7 linked regions of the Bombyx mori genome follow. The protein of the gene in region 6 binds, or shares a complex with, the protein of the main gene of each other region. Links are inferred from orthologs where the notes say so. Each region holds a gene or a part of one and is shown on either strand. Other genes may lie near its edges. The genes, in order: U4/U6 small nuclear ribonucleoprotein Prp3, ubiquitin carboxyl-terminal hydrolase 39, U4/U6 small nuclear ribonucleoprotein Prp4, pre-mRNA-processing factor 6, U6 snRNA-associated Sm-like protein LSm6, U6 snRNA-associated Sm-like protein LSm8 and thioredoxin-like protein 4A.

What was found.
Region 1: U6 snRNA-associated Sm-like protein LSm8 (region 6) and U4/U6 small nuclear ribonucleoprotein Prp3 share a complex: the UniProt entries of both Homo sapiens proteins name them as parts of the precatalytic spliceosome. The link is inferred for Bombyx mori from reciprocal best matches to the Homo sapiens genes LSM8 and PRPF3.
Region 2: U6 snRNA-associated Sm-like protein LSm8 (region 6) and ubiquitin carboxyl-terminal hydrolase 39 share a complex: the UniProt entries of both Homo sapiens proteins name them as parts of the U4/U6-U5 tri-snRNP complex. The link is inferred for Bombyx mori from reciprocal best matches to the Homo sapiens genes LSM8 and USP39.
Region 3: U6 snRNA-associated Sm-like protein LSm8 (region 6) and U4/U6 small nuclear ribonucleoprotein Prp4 share a complex: the UniProt entries of both Homo sapiens proteins name them as parts of the precatalytic spliceosome. The link is inferred for Bombyx mori from reciprocal best matches to the Homo sapiens genes LSM8 and PRPF4.
Region 4: U6 snRNA-associated Sm-like protein LSm8 (region 6) and pre-mRNA-processing factor 6 share a complex: the UniProt entries of both Homo sapiens proteins name them as parts of the U4/U6-U5 tri-snRNP complex. The link is inferred for Bombyx mori from reciprocal best matches to the Homo sapiens genes LSM8 and PRPF6.
Region 5: U6 snRNA-associated Sm-like protein LSm8 (region 6) and U6 snRNA-associated Sm-like protein LSm6 share a complex: the UniProt entries of both Homo sapiens proteins name them as parts of the precatalytic spliceosome. The link is inferred for Bombyx mori from reciprocal best matches to the Homo sapiens genes LSM8 and LSM6.
Region 7: U6 snRNA-associated Sm-like protein LSm8 (region 6) and thioredoxin-like protein 4A share a complex: the UniProt entries of both Homo sapiens proteins name them as parts of the precatalytic spliceosome. The link is inferred for Bombyx mori from reciprocal best matches to the Homo sapiens genes LSM8 and TXNL4A.

The regions. Positions count from the first base shown.
Region 1 is NC_085130.1:18,559,803-18,563,302, reverse strand, and holds part of U4/U6 small nuclear ribonucleoprotein Prp3, read right to left. Parts: intron 1,457-3,500; coding exon 1,269-1,456; intron 858-1,268; coding exon 710-857; intron 61-709; coding exon 1-60. UniProt on the Homo sapiens protein: Plays a role in pre-mRNA splicing as component of the U4/U6-U5 tri-snRNP complex that is involved in spliceosome assembly, and as component of the precatalytic spliceosome (spliceosome B complex).
Region 2 is NC_085121.1:4,081,303-4,085,285, reverse strand, and holds the start of ubiquitin carboxyl-terminal hydrolase 39, read right to left. Parts: upstream 2,801-3,983; 5' UTR 2,679-2,800; coding exon 2,618-2,678; intron 2,538-2,617; coding exon 2,389-2,537; intron 2,153-2,388; coding exon 2,038-2,152; intron 1,292-2,037; coding exon 1,116-1,291; intron 893-1,115; coding exon 667-892; intron 504-666; coding exon 380-503; intron 281-379; coding exon 121-280; intron 1-120.
Region 3 is NC_085130.1:18,540,135-18,543,634, forward strand, and holds part of U4/U6 small nuclear ribonucleoprotein Prp4, read right to left. Parts: intron 2,871-3,500; coding exon 2,712-2,870; intron 1,657-2,711; exon of another isoform or gene 1,028-1,656; coding exon 922-1,027; exon of another isoform or gene 425-921; coding exon 354-424; exon of another isoform or gene 1-353. UniProt on the Homo sapiens protein: Plays a role in pre-mRNA splicing as component of the U4/U6-U5 tri-snRNP complex that is involved in spliceosome assembly, and as component of the precatalytic spliceosome (spliceosome B complex).
Region 4 is NC_085109.1:9,946,673-9,950,172, reverse strand, and holds part of pre-mRNA-processing factor 6, read right to left. Parts: intron 2,403-3,500; coding exon 2,186-2,402; intron 1,321-2,185; coding exon 1,157-1,320; intron 532-1,156; coding exon 355-531; intron 1-354. UniProt on the Homo sapiens protein: Involved in pre-mRNA splicing as component of the U4/U6-U5 tri-snRNP complex, one of the building blocks of the spliceosome.
Region 5 is NC_085134.1:2,613,326-2,617,605, reverse strand, and holds the start of U6 snRNA-associated Sm-like protein LSm6, read right to left. Parts: upstream 2,801-4,280; 5' UTR 163-2,800; coding exon 72-162; intron 1-71. Other genes in the region: GATA zinc finger domain-containing protein 1, read right to left, coding at 2,947-3,113, 3,611-3,797, 4,036-4,280. UniProt on the Homo sapiens protein: Plays a role in pre-mRNA splicing as component of the U4/U6-U5 tri-snRNP complex that is involved in spliceosome assembly, and as component of the precatalytic spliceosome (spliceosome B complex).
Region 6 is NC_085112.1:10,370,994-10,373,094, forward strand, and holds U6 snRNA-associated Sm-like protein LSm8, read left to right. Parts: upstream 1-1,173; 5' UTR 1,174-1,282; coding exon 1,283-1,573; 3' UTR 1,574-1,601; downstream 1,602-2,101. UniProt on the Homo sapiens protein: Plays a role in pre-mRNA splicing as component of the U4/U6-U5 tri-snRNP complex that is involved in spliceosome assembly, and as component of the precatalytic spliceosome (spliceosome B complex).
Region 7 is NC_085120.1:13,294,256-13,298,325, forward strand, and holds thioredoxin-like protein 4A, read right to left. Parts: upstream 2,801-4,070; 5' UTR 1,991-2,800; coding exon 1,913-1,990; intron 1,622-1,912; coding exon 1,485-1,621; intron 826-1,484; coding exon 612-825; 3' UTR 402-611; downstream 1-401. UniProt on the Homo sapiens protein: Plays a role in pre-mRNA splicing as component of the U5 snRNP and U4/U6-U5 tri-snRNP complexes that are involved in spliceosome assembly, and as component of the precatalytic spliceosome (spliceosome B complex).

The sequences.
Region 1 (3,500 bases), on a different chromosome or scaffold from region 6:
TCGATCGCCGTGGGGTCCTGCACCGCTTCGGTGCCTAAAGCTCGCATCAGATTCGAGATCCTGAAACATTTCATCTTACGATGCTTTCAGAGCCTTTTTTTCCTGCAGACTAGAGATGAAACGGATAGTGGTTTAGCCGGATACCGGGTACCGAATATTCGGCAAACTGCGAGGCCGGATATTCGGCCCTTTCGGAAATATTCGTGCGCGTTCGGGTGTTGTCGCACATAACGGAGATCACGACGACGATTTGGCATTCGTTCACCACAATTTGCCACTTGTCAGTTTTGAGTATTAAACAAACTAATTAATCACAATCACTTTTGACGTGCGATTATAAAAATAAAAGTTGTCCATAACCTATTGTGGTATTATTTGCCTTTTGTATAACCATGAGATTTTCTTAAATTTTACATTTTTTTTTATTGCCCTTGTAGGCAGACGAGCTTACGGCCCACCTGATGGTGAGTGGTTACCGTCGCCCATGGACTTCAGCAATGCCAGGGGCAGAGCCAAGCCGCTGCCTACCGCTTAATACGACCGAATATCCGAATATCCGAAATTCGGCCGGATACTGATTTACTATCCGGTATTAGGCCGGACAGTGAAAACATGGCCGGATAGGCCGGATACCGTATAGTTACGGATATCCGTTTCATCTCTACTGCAGACCCTACCTCTGTTAATGGTTCTACGAAGTGTCACGCACCTGAGCTTTGGTTCTGGTGGCGCTTCCAGTCCGAGTCTGACCTTCTCCTGCTCCTCCTTCCAAGCCTCCCGTCTGCTCTGGCGTCGCAGTTTCTTCCTCTCCTTCTTCGTCAGGAAGACCGGCATGAACGTCGGCTTGAGAGGTTCCGCTGCGAGGAAAAAGTCTTCTGTTGACTACCCTCCCGATCCACTAACGGTGCTTTTAGGTACCTCAAGCACCGGTCACCGTCCTCGTCGAAGCCGTCCTTGTGAGTCCGCGCGGGTAGGTACCACCTGCCTATTTCTGCCATGAAGCAGTAATGCGTTTCGGTTTGAAGGGCGGGGCAGCCGTTGTAACTATACTGAGACCTCATTTCTCAAGGTGGCGCATTTACATTATAGATGTCTATGGGCTCCGGTAACCACTCCACGTTGCTTCCCGAGCGCTATAACATGTCCTTCTTCAAACGAGGCTTGTGGCATTGCTGAAGTCCATGGGCAGCGGTAACCACTTATCATCAGGCGGGCTGTGTTCTCGTCCCCCTTTAGGCATCTAAAAACAAAAAAAAATATCGACTGACTGGGCGGCCTGAGCTGCTGCGGGTGCTCCACGAGGTTGGTGATGGCCTCCTCGTTGATGTTGTCCACTATGTCGTCCTCGCCCGTGTTGCAGGCGTCCACGCGCTGCTCGTCCGTGCGCCCATCAGCGCCGGCCCCGCGCCGCTTCGTCTCCCGCTCGTCCGCCGTCATCAGGATCACGCTGTCCCACCTGCCCCCGGGACGACGGTACCAATAGGGCCAGATCTCAAAAATGACAAGTGTCAAAATTGACAGGTGTCAAAAGTGACGAGTCTTCTTTTCGCATTAAAAGTGTACAATTTTGAAAACTATTCGAAATTGAGTTAATATGCGAAATCATTTGGTATCACCAGTATTTTTCTCATAAATACTGTCAAAAGAGCGTAGTTTAGTTTTATGAATTTTTTTATTATTATTTTATCTATGTTTTGACTATTAACAAAATTAGTACATCATTTTATCTTACTTTAAAAGACAGATAATGTAACTGGTAAAAAATAAAAAATAAATGTTGCTAAGATGATTATTATGATGAAAGTAGGGCTGCGTATTAATTTCTCAAAAACAAAAGAAATGCGCATAAATACCACCGATTCGGCTCCTATGTCGATCAAAGGGAGGCACATCGAGCAGGTGGGAAGCTTCTGTTACCTGGGCAGCATTGTGGACGATAGGGGAGGCACCGAGGCAGACATTGCGGCTCGTATAAATAAAGCCAGAGCCGCGTTTAGTCAACTTAGGCCAGTGTGGAGTTCCTCAACCTTAACAAGACGAACAAAGGTGAGGATCTTCAACTCAAATGTAAAGTCTGTATTGCTGTACGGGAGCGAAACTTGGTTTGTTCGCAAGGACTTGATCAAAAAACTTCAAGTGTTTGTGAATAAGTGCCTGCGTCAGATTTTGAAAATCTTTTGGCCTGAGAAGATCACTAACAAAGAGCTGTGGAGGATCACTAGGCAGACACCAGTGGAGAAGGAGATCCTTACGCGGAAGTGGCATTGGATTGGTCACACTCTGAGAAAGCCCGATACACACCTATCAAAGAGAGCACTGACCTGGAAAGTGTCTGGTAAAAGGAAGAGAGGCCGCCCCAGAACAACTTGGCGTCGCTCGGTGGAGCAGGAGCTAGGGGTCTTGGGCATGACGTGGGAGGAGCTAGAACAGACTGCCCAAGACCGATACAAATGGAAAAATTTGATTCGAGCCCTACACCCCAGCAGAGGGTAATAGGAAAGCATGATGATGATGAAGATGATTATTAATATTAAAAATACCACATGTTGAACCTTTAAAACACTCTCCTGTAAAATTAGTAAGTTTTGAGATTATACAGTTTTAATGCGAGAAGACGACGTGTCAAAAGTGACAGCTGTCACTGTAGCCGCCGCATATTGTACGCGCTCGTACCGCTCGCGATCGAAGCCAAGTAGCAGAACGTGCGCGCGAACTTAATGAAAAGCTCGGCGCTTGATTTGATTTTGGTTTTATTTTATTCAAAAGTCGTAAATTGATAATATTTATTTATATACATTTTTATATGTAAATATATATTTATGTATATGTATTTATTTAAGTACGGGTGTTTGTATCTATAAATATGATGTATGTTATATATACACATATGTTTAAGTAATATCACTATCACACCACACTCACCAAGGTTCATCTCAAGAATGGCATTAAGTCCGCCTTTATACTGTCTAGTATATAAAGTTATAAATAAATAAAATAAATAAAATAAATAATCGCATACACAAACAAACACACAAAGCGCAGTACCCACTCGTCTATGTATATTAATGTGGAGTTCGCTCAGAGTAGAATTGCGCAGTGTTTTTGGAAAAGTATCAAAATATATTCAGTAGATTGGGGGGAATCGGGCCGCTTTCCTATTCCAACACAAATTTTCAGCGGTTTCTCTCAAGGTAATACCAATAAAATTGAGATTAAAATGGTTCCGGATACTTAAATTTTCATATACGCCGCATTATTATATATAGTTCATTGAAAAATCTATACAAAACTTTAAAAACCAGCTTCACCTGATTCACTTTGGCTTTTGTGGTGAATCGGGTCACCTATGGAGACAATAGAGTTTTTCGATAGGGCTGGCACTGTTTAGTTGTTAGATAGGTACTACCCACCTTTAGGTAATTAATTTTTCAAATTCAATTACAAAACTTTGATAACGATATACCAGTGTGAACGTGTTATCTAAGCTCCTCCCTAGAATT
Region 2 (3,983 bases), on a different chromosome or scaffold from region 6:
TTTTTGTTTTAAATCCTATTTAAGTGGATGTGAATTGATATAAAAAAACCAGTCTTAATAAAAAAATAAAAAAGTTAGTGAATACAATTTTTAAATTGCAACAATACTAGGTATTTTCACCTGTGGAATAATATTTTCGCGGAACTCATCAGTGAACAATGGCGTTGGAGGCAAATCACATGTGAGGTACAAAAATGGAGACTCAGTGATCATTTCATTGTACTCTTCACTGCTAAGATCGACTTTAGCTGCATCATCAGCATCCGGCGGTGGCAACTTTCTGAAAATTTCAGTCTGTTCAGAAATTTTTGACTGCATATAATGATAGATTAAATGTTAATTATTTTGAACTTTAAAAAATCAGATGCTTAAATCTTACCTTGTATAGATCCTCATGTGACCCAGAAATGACTTATAAATTATGGAGCTATTTGGCTTCTTTGTACCATTCAGTGCCATGTGTAATGAATTTAGAAACCAAGACAGAAAGTCTATTGGATCACCTGAGCAAAAATTTATTTATTTATAAATTTTTATTATTATTATAAAACAATATATAATTAAAATATAAAACTGATCAATCAATATTCATACTTTTTAGCATAATATACAGAAATTACACTAAGAAAGCATGTTCGTATATCCAAAAAACTACTAAAATCTTACTCTGCTTAATAAACTGATATCGCTTCTTAGACCACAGCACAACAGCCTGCAACATCTCGTGAGGAGATACATGTGCTTTAAAAGCACGGGGGTTCCATAGTTTGCGTAATAATTCACCAAATCTTTGTACAAGTAAAAAAGACGAGTCCCCTGGTGGTCTTTTTACACTAGCATAGTTCTCTTCTCTCAAAAAGTAGTTACGTAGGGGACGTACTTGTGACAAACACTAAAATCATAAAATGAATTTAGTATAAAACTGTGACAATATTAAGACTTTGTAGCACTGTGTAATTATTCACTACAAATATACATAATGGTTAAAACAGAATCAGTTTGACTGTAACGCATCTACTTTCACAGATCGCCGGCAACAAAAATATAAGTCGCATTTATCATACAATAAAAACAGTACATATCATAAAATGTATTTAATAAAAACATATACTGACCTGCAAAATTACATTACAGTAATCATTGGCCTTGATATTATTAAGGCCTACAATGCCAGGCATATACATTGTGCCATCAATGGCTCGTGACATCTTTGTGTTAGTATCTATAAGCTTGATCTGTTCAGGTGTGAATGTTGGGTTCAAAACATATTTGATGTCATTCAATGAAGAGTCTAAAATGTGAAATTGTCTTTTTTTATGACTGTGATAGGTAGATTAGCTCCCGGCTCATCTGATGCTATGTGATTACCCGCATCCCTATAACAGGAGTTCTAAGTCTCAGTTTTACAGTACAACAGTAGCTGTCCCCTTCACCAATGCACATTATTGCTTCACGGCAGAAATAGGCAGAGTGGTGGTACTTACAAATGCAAGCTCTTAAGTCACCCTTAGAACAAATTATAATTTATGCAAGTTTATTATAATCACAAGATGGATTTGATACATTCCTTCACCAACGAAGTGTTAAATACATATTAAAAAAATTGGTACCTGCCAACAGAATTCAAACACCACCACAGTTGCACTGCCCAATACAAATGCACTGGGTGTCTTGTCCATTAGACTATTACAAGTTTTAAAGCTTTACTGTACTTCTAGTCATTGATACCTAAATTTAAGCTTAAAAGTATTTTACTTGATTCCATTTTGGTGTATAAAATTTTAAAAATCAGTCAAATTTTCCTTATTATTAATTTACTTACAAAAATAAAGTCTAACAATTTATTTTAAGTTATCGCATGTGTTAACAACTGTAAAATGCACCAATTCTTAATCATAATATTTTATAAATATTTTCAATGCACAAAATCATCAATTGACCGAATTCATTTATATCTTATTATTATTTTATTTATAATTAATTTATATCTAACATAAAAGCTATTTTAGCTAACCAAGTTAAAAATATGTAATTTACCAATAACTTCATAATTGTCAGGAAGACAATAGAACTTTAATGTGTTAAGATTCAAAAATACATGGTGTCCATCAGCCACTGAATGTGTGTAGGCATGAGTGTTGGTGCCTCTTCCCTGGAAAGTAGATAGATTTTAATGATTTTTTCGCAAGTGATTAATTCAAATTTATGCCTAAGTCAACATAAATAACCTATCTTACATATCACTACAGCAAAGAACTGGAATGAAATGCCAGGAACAACACTGGCGCTCATAAAAATCGTCATCATGAAAACAAGTAACTTGCCTGTAAAAAAAAGTTCAAGCCTCTAATCACCAAAGCCATGACAATTGCATAAATATTTTGTTACCTGAAAATATTTACCGCACACTAAGCAAGCGTAAACATTGATTCTAGTCAATGAAACCGAGCACAATTTCTCAAAGTCAAAATCTAAAACATGCCGATTGATAGTATCCAGGTAAGGACATTGAATTTGTTGAGTTTTCGAATATCGTCCTGAAAATATAATAATACTTTGATTACAAATAGCAGTAGAGTGCAGAATCATAGAAGGTTAGAATTGCATTATCAAGTACCTTGTTTGTCAGTCCCATTTTCATCAGTTATTTTGCGTTTTCTAGATTGTTCTTCAGTCATTTTATTACTATCATAGACTTTAGACAATGTAGTTAAATGAAGAATCTGAAATCTAAATGTAAAATGTAAATATTAATCGTTAAATGAACTTTTTATGGGATTTTATGATACGGTAACTAAGACCTTTAGGTCAGGTCTTAATTAAATTTATATTCTTATTTTTATGAAAAATGGTAATACGAAGTGGTATGAAATGAAATGAGATAATATAGTATGAAATATGAAGTCGTCGTGGCCTAAAGGATAAGACGTCCGGTGCATTCGTGTTGAGCAATGCACCGATGTTCGAATCTCAGGTGGGTACCAATTTTTCTATTGAAATACATAACAAATGTTAACGATTGACTTCCACGGTGAAGGCATAACATCGTGTAATAAAAATCAAACCCGCAAAATTATAATTTGCGTAATTACTGGTGGAAGGACCTCTTGTGAATCCGCGTGGGTAGGTACCACCACCCTGCCTATTTGTGCCGTGAAGCAGTAATGCGTTTCGGTTTGAAGGGTGGGACAGCCATTGTAACTATACTTGAGACCTTATCCATCCTCCAAAAAGTTCACTAAAAAGTATCAGTAAATGACCACTATCATAGTGAGATTATATTTTATACCATATCATCTCATCTCATTTCACTTCATATTATCATTTTTCATAAAAATAAGAATATAAATTTTATTAAGAGTTGACCTAAAGATCTTAGTTACCGTGTCATAAAATCCATTAAAAAATATTTTAGTAGGAGTATGTGTTCTATTTTCGAACTGGAAAGGCAAAAGTATGATACCATACAGCCTAATCTTTCATATTTTTTTGCTTATGATAAATGATTATATGAAATGAAATGAAGTTGATTAATTTGGAACAATAATCAATTGGCATGAAATGAAACGTAATGAGATGAGATGAAATATAGTCTCAGTAAAATGGGAATTATTTTCTGAGACTTTTTCAATGGACTTTTAAAAAGATCCCGAGAAGCTACATTTAACGGCTTTGTTGCATATTCATACATTTGTGCACTTTCAAAGGTATTATACAGTCAATTAACCACCATTATTACGCATTTTAATCTGAAAAGACACTACATAAATTAAATAAAACAATTGACACTGCTACGCTCATAGATTAATATTTGAAAGCTTCGCTCCTCGAATTTCCGCCAAAAAGTTATTATTTTGCCAATATTGTAATTATAGAGTAACTTGGCAATTTTTGGTAATATTTAGGCCTTGTCCGCACAGCGATATTTCACCGCGCGATTTTTTTCTCGTAATTCTGTAACACATTTAATATTATAGAAGTAT
Region 3 (3,500 bases), on a different chromosome or scaffold from region 6:
CCTAGGGGGATAAGATGGAGACAAAGAAGAAGAATTAGTTAACAATTAATACATTTTGCGTTTGCATTGATGCGTTTCCGATCCGGTGGTAGATTCTGCGAAGCACGGCTCTTGCTGGGGTTCGTGTTAGCAACGTCGTCAGGTTTGAGCTCCGTGAGCTCACCTACTAGTTTAAAAAAAAAAAAAAAATGCATGCCCGCTGAGTTTCTTGCCAGTTCTTCTCAAGACGGGGACTACTTTTTATGAATTGGCGGTAGATTTGATTTGATTAAAGTTACGCTGAAATAGCCTCTCAAGGCTATCTATCAGCTTAGGTAAAAAAAAAGAAGAAAAATATCGGCAAAGACCCTCACCAGCTCGAAGTGATCAGCATCTTGCTGTCCTGGCTGAACCTGCAGAAGCTCAGCGGCCTCGTGTCCCCGATCTGATGAAGAGCACCACAGATTTATGTGCTGAGCTGCCCCGCACGCTTAGGGCCGCCACGAGGTGGCCACGTGCTCAGGTTTGGAACGAGACAGCCCTGACACGAGAACCTTGTGACTGCGACATCACGTGGGCCTAGCCGGTAAAAACTAAGACGTTCCGTTTTTGCAGGATATCCGTTGCAGCACCATGGTTCCTAAGGAATGGCGGTAGGACCTCTTGTGAGTCCGCGCGGGTAGGTACCACCACCTTGCCTATTTCTGCCGTGAAGCAGTAATGCGTTTCGCTAATTTACTAGGATACGTAACATCACAGGGTCATAGTCGGCCATTTTGATCCTAGTTCTATATTACCCACCCCACTGGCCCCCACCACTGCAACTTCTGAGGGTCCACAGCGACGACCGTCCAACGAAGTGCGTTCACTTGGGAGGGAGACAGTGGGGGGGGGTGTAGCAGGAACTTAGGTACCCTCTATCCCCCACGACCTGGGCCTCACCTGGCTGCAGTAAATGCTAAAGGCAGACGCCTTCCGTTGCGACTCCTGCTTAGCGGCGGCGCGCACACTGCCAGCCAACTTGAGTTCCTCGCGGGCTTTGTTTAGCCTGTAACAATAATCGAGTAACTTACACGAGTCCATAGACATGTCGCGCCCCCCAGTGGTGGTGGATTTACACTAGGGGCGATCGGGGAAAGTGCCCAGGGTGGTAATTTTTGAAAGTGAAAAAAATTTTTTTTTCTTGTCGAGATTGCTCAATATAATTAATTAATAATTTTCTTTTTTATTGATAATTCAAGAAATTCAATTCACTCATGAATAGAATTATAACTTTGGCACTTTTGGTAAAAATTAATAATCAAAATTGATTTAATCAATTTATTTCCTTGAGATTTTTTAATAATAATCGATCTTCTATTTTCTGTAATTAAAGAAATTTAATTAGTTTTTTTTTTATGTAATATATTCTAAGGAAAGAAGACGGAAGTGGGCGTGGCCTGCTGACGTAATACAGCAGCGACTTCAGACTGGTCGGAGTTGAAGAGGGGAGTTGAGGACACCACTAACATATTGCCTCGTTCACGGCCTCTTTCTGATCTCAGCACCAGGGATAGACGGACGTTGTACATTCGCGTGTCAACTTAGTTACCCACATTTTGTCATTAGTATTTAAAATCAATAATTGTTGAAAATTGTATTTTGTATCGTTCTAATTATATTTTTTTAATATTTTGAGTCGTGATTTCTAATTATATTATTATTATTAGTCACCCTTTAGTGCAAAATTTAAGATTGTTAGAAAAAAAAACAAAAATATTTATTTACATTTTTGGAATATATGACATAAAATATGATAAAGTTTCTGCAATAAATTAGATATTTTAATTTTTTTAAATAAAATATATTAACTATAAGTTTAAGTAAAATTCCAGTATTAGGGCGGATTTTTTTTCCGATAACCAGGAGCGCGGCATTAAGTTTAAATCCGGCCCTGCGCACCCCCCATCATAATTTAAGACACCAGAATGAATCCACAATATTTCTATATATATCGAGTGGTGTAAGGCTCTTTAGTTTAAGAGACATTTATCTTTGTAATCAAAGGTCCGTTTTATATTTCGAATCAGCATCAACATTTCGATATTTTTAATTGAACTAGCGGTCACCCAGTAGTCGAAATTCGACTATAATTAATTGAATTTATAAGTTTGTATACTATTATGATTGTATTTTATACTTCTATAATCACAAATTTCGCCAAGACTACACTATAAAAAATATTAATAAAGACAAACAATATTTAATCTCAATTTGACAACAGACGTCAAGAACAAAAGTTTGACAATAAATAGTATGCATGCGTGTGTGCGTCAAATACATGGTATGTAGGGTATGTAATGTTTTCTTTTATGCAGTATTTAAAAAAAATATTAGCATTGTGCACTCCTTCTCTAAATTCTCTATAAGTGTGAGAAATTTCATGCTCCTCCATCCCCAAATTTTTCGTAAAAAGGGATACAAAGTTTTTGCTTCACGTATTAATATATAGATTAAGTTTACTCCATTCGAATAGCTGAAGAAGTTTGTTTTGTTAAAATATTATTTTGGCAAATTTTTAAAACTTTAAATAGATCTCCTGTAATATTGCAAAAATGTCGCCTGAACCAAACAGCCTTTTACCCTTCGTTACCTAACCTTAGAGGGGACAGCAAGGAGGTTCCGGAAGTAATGAAAATGATGACACAGCCAAGATATCACAGTCGGGTAGAGTCGAATTAATTGAAACTGACCTTTTTTTGGCGTTAGGCAGGGAGTACCTGGCTATCCAAATCCTCGCTTGCCTCAAGGTCGGGGGACCTTCGTGGTACCAGGTACCTTCTCTACCTCTGTCTCTTTCCAGGCGTGCTTCTTCCTCTTCTAGCTTCTTATTGATAGCATCTTCGCCGAGACTGAAAATAAAAATGAAATAATTAAATTCGTGTAATAAAAATAAAACCCGCAAAATTATAATTTGCGTAATTACTGGTGGTAGGACCTCTTGTGAGTCCGCGCGGGTAGGTACCACCGCCCTGCCTATTTCTGTCGTGAAGCAGTAAAGCGTTTCGGTTTGAAGGGCGGGGCAGCCGTTGTAACTATACTGAGACCTTAGAACTTATATCTCAAGGTGGGTGGCGACATTTACGTTGTGGATGTCTATGGGCTCCAGTAAACACTTAACACCAGGTGGGCTGTGAGCTCGTCCACCCATCTAAGCAATAAAAAAATATAAAGCCAAATGAAGACTAGAAAAGCTTTGTTAAATCTTTAAAATTCAACAATTAATTCATTTTTATATTTATCAATTTGTTTTAGTATTACACTTTATTACCAAATGCTGATCACCATGATATGGTGAATAGGAATTTATTCACAATTCAACATCAGGAAATTGCGTCTTTTTTGCTTGCGATCAGCAGAGACCTCCTGAGCACTAACCCAGCTGCCCCAGAAAACCAGTCAGTTGCTTCAGATTACCCATGACACCCCCATTATACCATTACAGTCCAGAAACTCCATTAGCAAATCGAGATAAACAAATT
Region 4 (3,500 bases), on a different chromosome or scaffold from region 6:
TTCTTCAGTTATTTGAATGGAGTGAACTTATTTTTATTTATTTATTTTTTATTGCTTAGATGGGTGGACGAGCTCACAGTTCACTTGATGTTAAGTGGTTACTGGAGCCCATCTACATCTACAACGTATATGCGCCACCCACCTTCAGATATAAGTTCTAAGGTCTAATATAGTTACAACGGCTGCCCCACCCTTCAAACCGAAATGCATTAACGCCGTGCGGACTCACAAGATGTTCTACCACCAGTAAAGTTAGAAGTCCAATTAAAACATCGCATTATTGGTGCTAATACAAGTTCAATCATAACAAAAAAAGATTATTTAGATTATAGATATTAAAGATTATATACGCACCCCTTGACTATATGTGTTGTGAGCGTCTTCGTCCTTGGCCATTTGTTCCTCAATCTGTCCCTTCATCATGTGAAGCTTTGCGTAGTCCCCGAACACTTTGATCGCTTCGTCCAGTAACTTTATGGCTACGTCCAGATTGTTCAATGCCCATTCTAGTTTCGCTGATTTGATCATCACCTAAAAAAGTAAATAAATAGAAATCGTTTTTTTATTTATTGCTTCGACGTGTAGACGAGCTTATTCTATATCAGTTTTTATAGTACATCCATTGCCTCATTCTTCAAACCGAAACGCGTTACTGTTTAACGGCAGAAATAGACAGGGAGGCGGTAATTCCTCGTGTAGCCTCACAAGAACCCCTTTAAGTAAATGTTTTTAAATAAACATCTTCAGAAATGTTTCCGTCATTCATCAAATGTAACAAACAAAATAAAGCATTAAAATCGGTTCTTACACCGAAAAAATTGACGTCAAAAGACATTAAGCTATAACTCTTGTGAAATAAGAGCTAAACGCCACTAGTCGGTCGGGGGGAGGGGGACCTATGACCTCCCTAGAGTGGGTCTCATAATTGCAGAGTACGAACAGACGAATCTTACAATATTAATGTTGATTTAACTTACACCAGCCCACTGAGTTTCTCGCCGGATCCTCTCAGTGGCAGATTCTGGGAAGCACTGCTCTTGCTAGGGCCAGTGTTAGCAACACCTCCGGTTTGAGCCCCGAGAGCTCACCTACACGCTAGGATAAAGCTGAGATAGCCTCTCAAGGCTATCAGCATAGGTAGGAAAAAAAAACTTACTCTCGGTGTGGGAGCTGAAGCCCTAGCTTTAGCCAGCAGCCGTCTCGCTCTGTCGTACTCTTTGTTCTCGCTCTCCAGTTTGACGGCGGCCAACCAGATCTCTTCAGAGTTGGGATTGGCCTGGAAGGCCAGCGACAGGATACCCCGAGCCGCCGGTACGTCGCCTAAACGAAACATTAATGATTGGTTTATTCAAATAGACCCAATCGGTGGTGCTGTGGTTAGCGACCCGAACTGCTGAGGGTGTTGGTGACGATTTCAGCATTGGGTCAGCTCTCGCGTTATAAACAAGTTTGTATGCTCTATATTTGGGTCTTTAATATCTATATATTATGTATAGTAGACTATATGTACTTATTGTCATATTCGAATTTTGAGAAAATTTACTACGACGGTAACAACCATCGTAGGGGACCGCACGCCAGCAATAAATAAATCAAATTGAACTGAAAAATAATTCGAAAGTCGTGTCATCTACAGCACTTCATTTTGTGTGAGTGCTCTCAAAATCTATAAACGTATCAAACTGCCCTTACAGAGCCGACGGGCAGAGAGATGGGCAACATTCGTCTTTACGTTTTTATTGCTTAGGTCGGTGGACGAGCTCACAGCCCACCTGGTGTTAAGTGTGGTTACTGGAGCCCTTAGACATCTACAACGGAAACGCCACCACCAACCTTGAGATTTGATTTCTAAGGTCTCAGTATAGTTAGTTACAACGGCTGCCCCACCCTGCAAACCGAAACGCGTTACTGCTTCACGGCAGAAATAGGCAGGGTGGTGGTACCTACCCGTGCGGACTTACAAGAGGTCCTACCATCAGTAATTACACGATATTATTTCTTCACCGTGCAAGTCAATCGTGAAGATTTCTGAAGTACGTCTTTCATTGAAAAATTGGTACCCGCCAGCGGGATTTGAACACCGGTGCATCGCTACATACGAATGCACCGGACGTCGACTTTAAGCCACGTCGACTTCTAACGTGTTACTGGAACGGAACGAACGGATCGATAAATCGTCCCTGACCTGCGAGCCACTTGGACTTGGCGCCCATGAGCCACAGCACCTCCGACTTGGGGCAGTGCGCGACGGCCCGCTGCAGCAGCGTCTCGAGGCTGGCGCGAGTCCCGTGCTGCTTCTCCAGGTAGGCGGCGCGAAGCCAGATGGACTTCTTGGACGGGAACACGGACAGCGCGTACCCGTACACGGCGCGGGCGCACTCGAACGCACCCTCAGTGGCGCACTACACAAACAATAACACTTATTAAACACATTACTGTAGGCGCGCGAGTTCATGTGCATCCTGAGGAATGCGGTAGTGCTGTGACCTAGTTAATTATGGTAATGTCGATAATAACTACCGATTTAGTCAACAGCTGTCAATTTGGTTAAATGTAACTTAAGGTAATTTTGCAATTTATGAAATAAAATAAATGTGATAACTAATTACTTGTTTATTTCTAATAGAGAAAAATATTCTTTAAATTTCAATTTAATCACTATCAAATGAAAAGACAACCGACAGATCAGAGTCGGAGTCAGTATGTATCTTTTTTCAGTAGGTTTTTTTCTATCTGAACTTGTTGGAAGCGGAGTAGTTATGGTTAAATGACATAATAGCGTTAGTTTAAATTATGACATCGATAAGCTCGCGTCACAACCGTCAGAACAACACTCGACGTCAGACAAACGCGGGGAGGCGGGCGAAGGTGGGGCGAGCTGTCCCCCGCGCATCGCCTCTGGCCCCGATGGACATGAACTCGCGCGCATACAGTAGTAGTTTTCCAATTACAGAGCACAATGCGACTCAGTGGCACACAATGCCGAATTATGCTGAAGCTTAATTGGAACGTGAATTAGTTTTCAAATGCATCAGCAGAGTGCGCTAAGTTCATGATGATCATTGCAATGTTTACAAAAGTATATACCTGTAAAATTAATTTGTTTACAGATTCGAATTCTAAAATGAAATTGTATTCACATTTTAAATGTGGTATATAAAAAAAAAGTAATTATTTGTACCTTCATCCATACTTATATTATTATTTTTTAGCACAGTTTGAATTAACTTTGATTATTTCCAACGAAACTACGACGAAACGAAAGCCTTACAAATTTTTTCAACAATAAAGGTTTACTGAGGTCTGTCACTGAGTTGGCATCGATTGCTTTTTTTTTTTTCCTACCTAAGCTGATAGTCTTTAGAGGCTATTTCAGCGTAACCGTGGCTAGTAGGTGAGCTCACGGGGCTCAAACCTGATGACGTTGCTAACACGAACCCTAGCAAGAGCCGTGCTTCGCAGAATCTACCACCGGATCGGAAACGCGACCCACTGAGAAG
Region 5 (4,280 bases), on a different chromosome or scaffold from region 6:
TATGTGGTTCTTAAAAGACGAAGTGATTGTTATTACTAACTTAATAAATAAAATTTGAAAGGAAAACAAACCTCTATAGTCAACGCCGCTGTTTAATTTAACGACAACTGGGCGACCGTGAATCTGCTGTATAAACGAGGACAAAGCTTCCTTACGACTCATTTTTTGTGTTTATTTATTATTCTGATGAAATTGAAGACACGAAATACATTAAATGAAACTTAAAAATTTTCAAATTGGTCAAAGCGGGTGTTTTGATTACTTTTGATCTTTTTTTAAAGGTTTTTATGACTTGGTATCTAATACCTTTAGGTCGTCTTATTTTAATTTTAATGAATTTTTTAAAATGAAAAATTGTATTAATATTATGAAATGAAATGAAGTTGATTACTATGAAACATGGCATGAAATGAAATGTAATGAATTGAAATGAGATGTTATGAGATGAAAAATAATCTCAGTAAAATGGTGGTCATTTACTGAGACTTTTTCAGTGGACTTTTTGGAGGATGCCGAGAAGTTTGACATTCTATTTTCAAATCCAGTTATTTGTTTGTTGATTAGTGTTTTGTTTTCACTACATTTGTAATATAATGTATCTTACATCAATATGTACACGATAGAAAAGAGTGAATATGGAGAGTTCCGTCGCCGTGGCAATGCCGCAAAACGGCTCATATTATGTTTGGTATTTAAGAAATAATGTGTATGTACGGAAAGAACACTACAAAAGAACGCACGATTGGCCTGTACGGTTCAGCACAGAAGTTTTGATTTAAAACATTTTGCAGCTTTCAACGTTAGGATCAGAAGAATATTAGTTCATTTGGGTCAAGTTGGTGGGCAAAACTTGATATGTGGCACCCCCACACGAACTGAACGATCGTCACCCCATTAGGGTATCTTGAAGCATATTGTCATCTACGATGAATTATGTTGTTTATAATCATAAGCGGTCACATCAAGCTGGTCATTTGCGATGAAAAATGGATTATTGTTTATAATCATAAGCGGTCATCAAGCGGGTTGCAAACACACCCTGATTCAGAACTAGAGGCGACTTTACCTATGGTGCGAGGTGTGTGTGAGTTGCAGATGCGCGCTGCGGTTTTAGGGTGCACCGGCCTCTGCATTCTTAATGAATCAGTTAGATTTGTTCCTTTTTTTTTTTTTTTTTTTCGGGCCGGGGGCCGAACCTCCTACGAGGTCCCCGCGCCTAGGGGGCGCGCGGGGTATGTGAGACTCAGCGATCTGCAGGTGTTGAGAGCAGATCGCGGGCCCAAGGATTTTAGGGCCCACCCACCAAACGACTCCCCTGCACTCTTACACCCGACGTCCGATCTCCGTCCGGGGTCAGAACCCGTTCAGTGTAGGGGGGTTCCCGCGGTCAACACTACAACCAGACACGCGGCGCCACCCCGAGGACGCCCGACCGACGGGTCGTCGAGGCGATAGTCGACGACCAACGACGTCGGTCTCCGCGGTACGGCGGCCCTACCAGGCCGCCCGGGTGGTGCCGCTGGTGTTCCGGGATACCCCGCTGGGCCAGAACCAGCCTGCCGGGTCGGAACGCGATACACCGCCGACCGGGTTGCTCTTCAACAGTATGTTCGGCGACGACAGCGACGACGAAAATGCGGACCGCATCGCAGTCCGCAGCCGCCGACGCGCCGTCCCGTCCTCCTGGTGCAGTTAGATTTGTTCCTAGTCCAACTTGATTGCACGCTTACTAGAGGGCGCTAGAATAATTATTGCACTCGGACATTACATGGACTAGAGGTTCAGTACAAAGGCAATGCCTCAAATGAAAATCTATCTCTAAATATGTCATGTTCACTGTTTAGTGGCTTTGTTCTGGTATAATTCATCACAGCTTCCTACCAAATAGCATCATTACTACAGATGTGTATGGTGAGGAACAGGATACAATGATGAAGAAGCTTTTGTATCTCCAGCCTGCCCTTCTTAATCGCTTGTCCACACTTCTCCTATATGACAACGCTCAACCTCATATGGTACAATCGACCGTCTTTAAGCTACAAGAGGTATGGATGGAAGTTTTTGCATCCACCATACACACAAGTTGTTGCGCCAACAGACTTACTATTATCCTTTTTCCAAAGTTTGAACAACTTCTTGGTAGGGTAAAAATGCAATACCCAAGAGGTTAACTGAAAATAATTGGGCTTCCATACGCTCCACTTCTTCAAGGGCATTGAAAGATAGGCAAAAAAATATCAGTGATCTAGGGAAACAGCATAGTTACTACTTACTACTATGAATACTTATACCAAATTTTCTGGAGGAAAAAAAATGTTGGTTGGTTTGAATGATTAAAGTGAATGATGTGTGTTATTGAATGATTGATAACTGTCCACTTCGATAAAGCGGCACGACACGAGAACCCTCTCATCGTGGCCGCTGGTAACTACATTCCCGATCCTGCGGACAGAATGGAAAGCAGTCGACGTCGCCCAAAACACGTCATCTCGGATCCTCCTGATCCACTAACGGTGCTTTTAGGTACTTAAAGCACCGGTCACCGTTCTCGTCGAACCCGTCGCTTGCGACGAAGGGCTCGACGAGTAAATTAACTCTCAGACACAGCCCACTGAGTTTCTCGCCGGATCTTCTCAGTGGGTCGCGTTTCCGATCCGGTGGTAGATTCTGCGAAGCACGGCTCTTGCTAGGGTTCGTGTTAGCAACATCGTCAGGTTTGAGCCCCGTGAGCTCACCTACTAAAGTTAGGGTTACGCTGACAGCCGCTAGGGCTATCAGCTTAGGTAGGGAAAAAAAAAAAAAAAATTATAACTGTGAATGATATCGAAATTCAAATTGTGCTCTAAATTTAAATAAATGTTAACTACGGGGTATATGGGGTAATAAAACTAAACATAAACAGTATTTTTTTGTAACAAAATGTTCACTTTGCTTAAATATAAAAGTCTACGTTCTCTCTTTAGCTTCCATCGAAGTCCATACAAAACCAGTATAATTATTCAGTTCATTATCAGTCAGTGGGTATGGACTGTTGCTCGCTTTGTAGTAATCAGATGGAGCATGCATCACAAATTCCATGTATTCCAGTTTCCGAGGCAGCTCTTCTTCAGGGCCTGAAAATTTACAGCAATATTAACCTTAACTGTCACATTTTTTATATACACTATTCTTTTTTTTGCTATATGGCAGTTGAGTTTTCGTGATGCTATTGTTGCCAGTATTGAGTTAGTAAAAATCATATTTACAAAATAAAAATAAAAAATTAAGCTGAATTTAATTAAGTTGGTTTATTTCATTATATTCATTATATTGGGATGAAATTACATGATATAGATTGAAACAAGACGAGAGGAAGTGAAATCAAACAATGCAGGCTTTTTAGAAATGCCGTGTCAAGCGACTTATTTCGTTTTCTGCTATTCACGAGCTTTGATCGAATACACATTTAATGAGTCACTATTATTACAAGTGGAAAATCTAAAGCACTAAATTTACAAAATGAAAAAAATCACCCAAAATGCCTTAGATATTGAATAAATACTTTAATCACCTACTTCTGCCTGTTGCAAATATCTGTATTTCTAATTAAAATATTATTAAAAGCTCATACCAATGATATATGTAGCAGGATCAAAACATTTCTCTGGAGGTGGGCTCGCTTTTGTAGGTAATAACCAAGTAACAGCTGCACTCTTCTCACAGTACTCATCAGTTAGGAAGCCTCTAATTTGGGCATAGTATGTGCCACCATCAATGTCAGTCATCGAAACAATATCACCAACTTGCATGTACATACCCTGAAAAAATTACCACAGACTATTCAAAGCAGAACCGAGGTAATTTTTCAAGTTTTCATGTTTACTGTGAATAATAAGTTAGGGTTTTTTAAATTAAATTAATCTCTAATCAGTTTTTAAACTATAATTAGTATGCGATATAGCCTCAAGATTATTGAAAAATAAAAAAAAAGGTATATTTCTACAGCTGTTGTATATCTAACTACAGATTTTAATTGGATTAAATAATTGAACAGACCTGATAAAATACTGAATCACTTGTAACAACAGTCGCTGTAGCTGTTGGTGCTTTCAATGGCTGCCTTTTGAATAGACTCCTGCGTCCTCTGCCCCGCGGCGCCGGCTGCTTCAATGGCGGTGGAGCAGGTGTTTTAGGTTTGTATCTCGTTGATCTAGTGCTTTTCCTAGTGCCCTTGCCGGTAGCTTTAGCCGGCGTAGACTCCTCATTTTTACCATTATCTTTGTCTTCCTTAATGTCTTCAC
Region 6 (2,101 bases):
AAAACTAAAAATTTAATTTAAGCATCATTTATTCAATTTATCAATGTAATACATAGTAATACATAACGGTAATAATAGTAATATCTGTAATATACAGTTGAGGAAAAAAAATCACCCCCACAGAGAATATAAGTAATTGATAATTTCTTGTTATTTTATAATTCACACGATGCCTACAATAAAATACCTGGGTCAATCACGTGAACTTTGTGTTTCCAAATAATGTGTTCTATCTCATTCTCTCGCCGGCTGAATCCTATATATTTATGTGTTTGTGTCTCTATGGACTTATTTTTCGTTTCGTTTAATTTCGTTTCATCGAATTTGAAATCACAACGATTCTAAAGAAGCTTCACTTCAATATATACTTTTTACTCACAAAAGTTTCATTTTTACGCCCCAAAATTTCATTTTAGGTAATTTACCCCGGTTCCCTGGCTGCTGGTGTATCATAATAATTTGTGAATATATGATCCGTCAGATCTTTTCTACCCAATTTACACGCTTTATATTAACTTCACTTGTATGTATGTTTGCAACTGACTCCTTTAGACGCGATTTTGACCCACTTTAAACGGCCAGAATTCATTCAAACTTTGTAGATTTATCGAGGACCGATAAAAAAATACTAATTTGATAAGATTATTCCATTATTCAATTTATAAAATAAGATTTTGGTCAATTTATATAATTTTTATCTATACTCGATAAGGCAGGAATTGATGTTAATGTACTTAATAGTTTTAAAAATACGCTTTTAAAGAAAATTTAAAATACATAATAGTTTAAAAAACTAAAAAAGACACTTTATATAAAATTCAACTAAAAAATTAAAATAAATTTTAATAAATTTAAATTGAAAATAGTGTAAAATATATTTTATTTAAAAAAAAGAGTGGGGTGCTTTTTAAGATATTATTGAAATAATAATTCTTCTACTCATATCTGTCAGAAAAATATTTATAACTAATAACACCATGCACCCCATGCTTTTTTTACAATAAAATATATTTTACACTATATTCAATTTAAATTTATTAAAATTTATTTTCTATTTTTTTAGTTGAATTTTAGATAAAGCGTGTTTTTTATTTTTTTAAACTATTATTTATTATGTAGTAATCATGTAGGTAGTAATAGTAATTGTAGTAGCTATTATACTAATCTGTGTAGGTACACATTTCAAATAATAATCTGTGGCAGCTCCCTGAAATTTGAAAATTTCTTATAGTTGTTTGATGTTGATTATTACTAATTTGAATTTATAAATAAAATAATTAGAATGGCTTCTGGACTCGAAAATTACGTGAATCAAACAGTGTCGGTAATAACTTCGGATGGACGTAATTTTATTGGCACCCTTAAGGGCTTTGACCAAACAATAAATATTATTTTAGACGAATCTCACGAAAGAGTGTTTTCCTCCACAAGTGGCGTCGCTCAAGTAGTACTTGGACTTCACATAATCAGAGGAGACAATGTGGCAATAGTCGGGCAAATAGACGAGTCAATTGATAGCAGATTAGACCTCGGAAACATCAAGGCAGAACCACTTGGACCAATGGTACATTAGAACTAGTTAATAAATGTTTTGTTATCAATCGGTGTTTCATTTGGGCAAATAAATATCATATTTTGTATTCGTCTCTTGTCTTGATTTACTAATTCGCAAAGCAGAATACATATTTTCACCCATAAAAATTAATCTTAGCCCTGGCTTGGGTTTTCCATTCTCTGAATAGGATTTGTGATAGCATGCCCTGTAATACCTGTTAGAATAGACAACACCCTGGATATATGTTCATTTCTTTGAACATAATCCTTAGGAAGTTACTTATGATGCCTATTGTAAACTACCAAATTAAGGGTTATATGTTTTACTCTTTCACAAAATACACATGAAGGTTCAAATACATTAAATCCCTGTATAATATATTCACAGGAATCAAAAATATTCATAGGTACTAAAAGAACCTTATTTCTCATTTGCTAATGGGTCTCATCACAATCAGCTCAGTTAGCCTGTTACCAACACAATTTTTTTAATGTGTTTGTGCTCTAGTAACTGGCATATAAATAACCGTTTTAGAATAAGCATAAT
Region 7 (4,070 bases), on a different chromosome or scaffold from region 6:
GAGGATCCGAAATGACGTGTTTAGGGCTTCTCGTCCCTCTTGGCCTTGGCACGACCGTTTATCGGTCTTTTACTGGTATTTTACTGGTGGTAGGACCTCTTGTGAGTCCGCACGGGTAGGTACTACCGCCCCGCCTATTTCTGCCGTGAAGCAGTAATGCGTTTCGGTTTGAAGGGTGGGGCAGGCGTTGTGACTATACTGAGACCTTAGAACTATATCTCAAGGTGTGTGGCGCATTTACGTCGTAGATGTCTATGACCTCCAGTAACCACTTAACACCAGGTGGGCTGTGAGCTCGTCCACACATCTAAGCAATAAAAAATAAAAATAAAGTATTTTTGATAATGGTTTTTTTTTTTTTCAATGATGAAGATATTGCAACACAAAAAAAAGGATCTACATCAGCATAAAACTTGTCATTTATTCTACTTTTACTTTGTTTAATATCAGGAAGAACAGCATAATTCCAAAAACACATGAGTTATAATGTAATATGTATAGTTCTTATTTTTATATAAAAAAAGTTACATTACTAAATTTATGATGACTATGATGTCAGATATGATTACAAATTACTAGACCATTCAGGTGGAACATTATTTTAAATTAAACTAATATCTGTATTTGGTAGAGTAATCTTTCGGTGAGACAACAAGACCTCGTCCTTTTCTTGCCCCTCTGTACACAGTTTCAATAATATCAATCATCTCCTGCTTGTCTTCGAGAGGCCAGTTGATTTTATTGTTGTTGCCAGTCCCCAAGTCAATCATTATGTGTTTGTTGCGGAAGAAGAACATCACTGTGCATGGATCGTATAATTCATACCTAGAAATAAGTTTAAATAATATTATTATAGGCCTTGCTTAGTCATTTTATATACTAGACCCTTTCTACTAGACTAGAACTTTCAACCTTTTTTACTTAATGATGTATTAACATACTCTATATATACATGACACCCTTAAATGCAAAGATTTATAGTTGGGAGTGATGGTTGTTGGTATTTACATCACTCATATGTAATACTGTTGTATGGTTAATATTTAATAAACAATTGTATATTTAACCAACATGTATCCCTGAGATGCAATTTCCCAGATCACCTTAAATAAAAATTGAAATATCGTATTTCTAATTTTCACAACACACTTGACTTGCAACATTCCAGTGATCAAGAACTGCTGTTCTACTCTAGTCTTAAAATCAACAATTTGAAAAAAATTATTAACAATGTAGATAATGAAATTCATTTACTGTATGAACCAGACTTATTAAGAATTCCTAGAAAACTCATAGTTCTTTGCTTCTTCACTTATGATACTTTTTTAATAATTAATAAAACAACAAATTTAATAATACAACATAATTTCCTTAAAACACTGGAGGTAGGAGGACTTGTGTATTCCACAAAGGTTTTAAGAAAACCTATCAAAATCTTAATTTCAGAAATAAATTTAGAACAAGTAGTTTTACGGTATACTTACATTTTATTAAAATCTGGAACTTCTGTAATGTCAACTAAATATATGACAGCAAAATTTTTTACTTTTTCCGCAATGCTGTATAATACTTCATCCATTTTCATACATGTTGGGTCCCAGTCGTGTCCAAACCTTATAACCTAGATATGTAAATTAGAATTAATTACATTTAATATAGTTGAATCATAGGGCAAGACAATTAGGCCACTAATTAAATAACTATTAACTGTTTTGGCTCAAAGCATTTTGTTAGTTCCTTTAATTCAAAATCTATTGTTTTTTATACTAGAAGGTTGAAGGTCTTGGTTTCTACTGCATTTATATACTTTAACAAATACCTATTGATGTAAGGTTAGAATATAATTATTATTTTTAGTCTTCAGATACTAAATCTCAGATTTCTACATTCTATGAATCTAGTTAAAACTCACCACTACACGGTCTTCTTCTGATAGAATGGCCTGATCTACTTGCCAACCATTGTGTAGATGTCCTAGCATATAACTCATTTTGCAAATAAACTACTTTACGTATTATTTCAAACAAACGATTATTCCTGTATTCTTTTTTCTGGAAATTGCTATTGCTATGAGCAAAATATAATCGTGTTGTAGGACCACTGAACAAATATTGATATTATTTTGCTCACTGAAATTTGCCTTTCACATCTAAGACATTCCAAAGTTATTTTATTCTCACATTTTGTTTCTCGTCACTGTTCACGTTTTCTATAGAAGTGTGTTCAAAAAGTTTAGAGCAGGCGTTGTCTTTTTTGTTACTTCATAACAAAAAGAATGTTCTGTGAAATAGAGAACTTTAAATTTATAATTATTTAATAATATGTAGGTATTAAGATATGACTATTCTATGAGTAAATTTACAAACACTGACTTTTACCAGGTCATAAAATACCTTAAAAAAAATCACAGACCACAGTATGACGTATGACAGTAGCAGTTCCATTTTCCAACAAGAAAGGCGGAGGTATCAGTCCATACAGCGTAATCTTTCATGGAATTATTCTGTTATTTATATCAATTTAATATGAAGTTAATAATGATATGGATGAAATGAGGTGAAGTTTATTTATTTGAGGCTTTAATGTTAATCATATATTTTATCGTTACAACTCTTATAGGTACAACAAGGTATTTAAATTAAATTATATAGGTATAGGATATAGGTTATAGGATTTAAATTAAATAAAATTAATAATTTTGTGCAGCGACCGGCGCGGCGCGTGCGCGTTATTCAATTTTTCTTTATCGACCCTCCGTATTTTTACGAATCCTGCGAGGCGTCGCGGCGTCGGTCGCACGGCGTTGTTCGACACTTTAGGGTTCCGCTTAGCGTGCGGGTGTTGTAACGTAATGTTACAACTGAAATCGTCTGCAAAATAAAAAAAGAAAATAAAAAAAACCTTAAAACAAAAGTATTTATGTTCAAAGCAGTTATTTTATCGATTGTACCGCTGAGGTGACAACAATAGTTCCCACCTCCCCCCGAGACGTAGGTTCGGCTGGCGCAGACACTGCGCAGCCGCTGCGCCGGCAGTCGTCACTAGAATCGACATCAACCCCACGAAAAGCACAGCGGTGCTCTTCAAAAGGGGTCGCCCTCCGAACACCACGCTGAGCATCCCCCTCCCGACTAGGCGCGTCAACACCTCCGCCCCCGCCATTCGCCCAATCACGATGTTCGACCAGCCCATACCGTGGGCCCCGAAGGTCAAATATTTAGGCGTCACCCTCGACAGTAGGATGACATTCCGCCCTCACATCAAGACGGTACGCGACCGTGCCGCCTTCATTCTAGGACGTCTCTACCCGATGATATGTAGGCGAAGTAAAATGTCCCTTAGAAATAAGGTGACACTCTACAAAATTTGCATACGCCCCGTCATGACCTATGCAAGTGTAGTGTTCGCTCACGCGGCCCGCACTCACTTAAAATCGTTCCACATTATTCAATCCCGTTTTTGCAGGATAGCCGTCGGAGCCCCGTGGTTCGTCAGGAACGTCGACCTCCATGACGACCTGGACTTAGAGTCCATCAGTAAGTATCTACAGTCGGCGTCGATGCGCCACTTCGATAAAGCGGCACGACACGAGAACCCTCTCATCGTGGCCGCCGGTAACTACATTCCCGATCCTGCGGACAGAATGGAAAGCAGTCGACGTCGCCCAAAACACGTCATCTCGGATCCTCCCGATCCACTAACGGTGCTTCTAGGTACTTCAAGTACCGGTCACCGTTCTCGTCGAACCCGTCGCTTGCGACGAAGGGCTCGACGAGTAAATTAACTCTCAGACACAGCCCACTGAGTTTCTCGCCGGATCTTCTCAGTGGGTCGCGTTTCCGATCCGGTGGTAGATTCTGCGAAGCACGGGTCTTGCTAGGGTTCGTGTTAGCAACGTCATCAGGTTTGAGCCCCGCGAGCTCAACTACAAAAGTTAGGGTTACGCTGAAATAGCCTCTCAAGGCTCTCAGCGTAGGTAGAAAAAAAAAGTGTGTGTGTCCGCTCCGACGCACGACTGGAGTTTACTGGATATAAATATAAATTTGTGTCAGTTGAATACAGTAAAATAT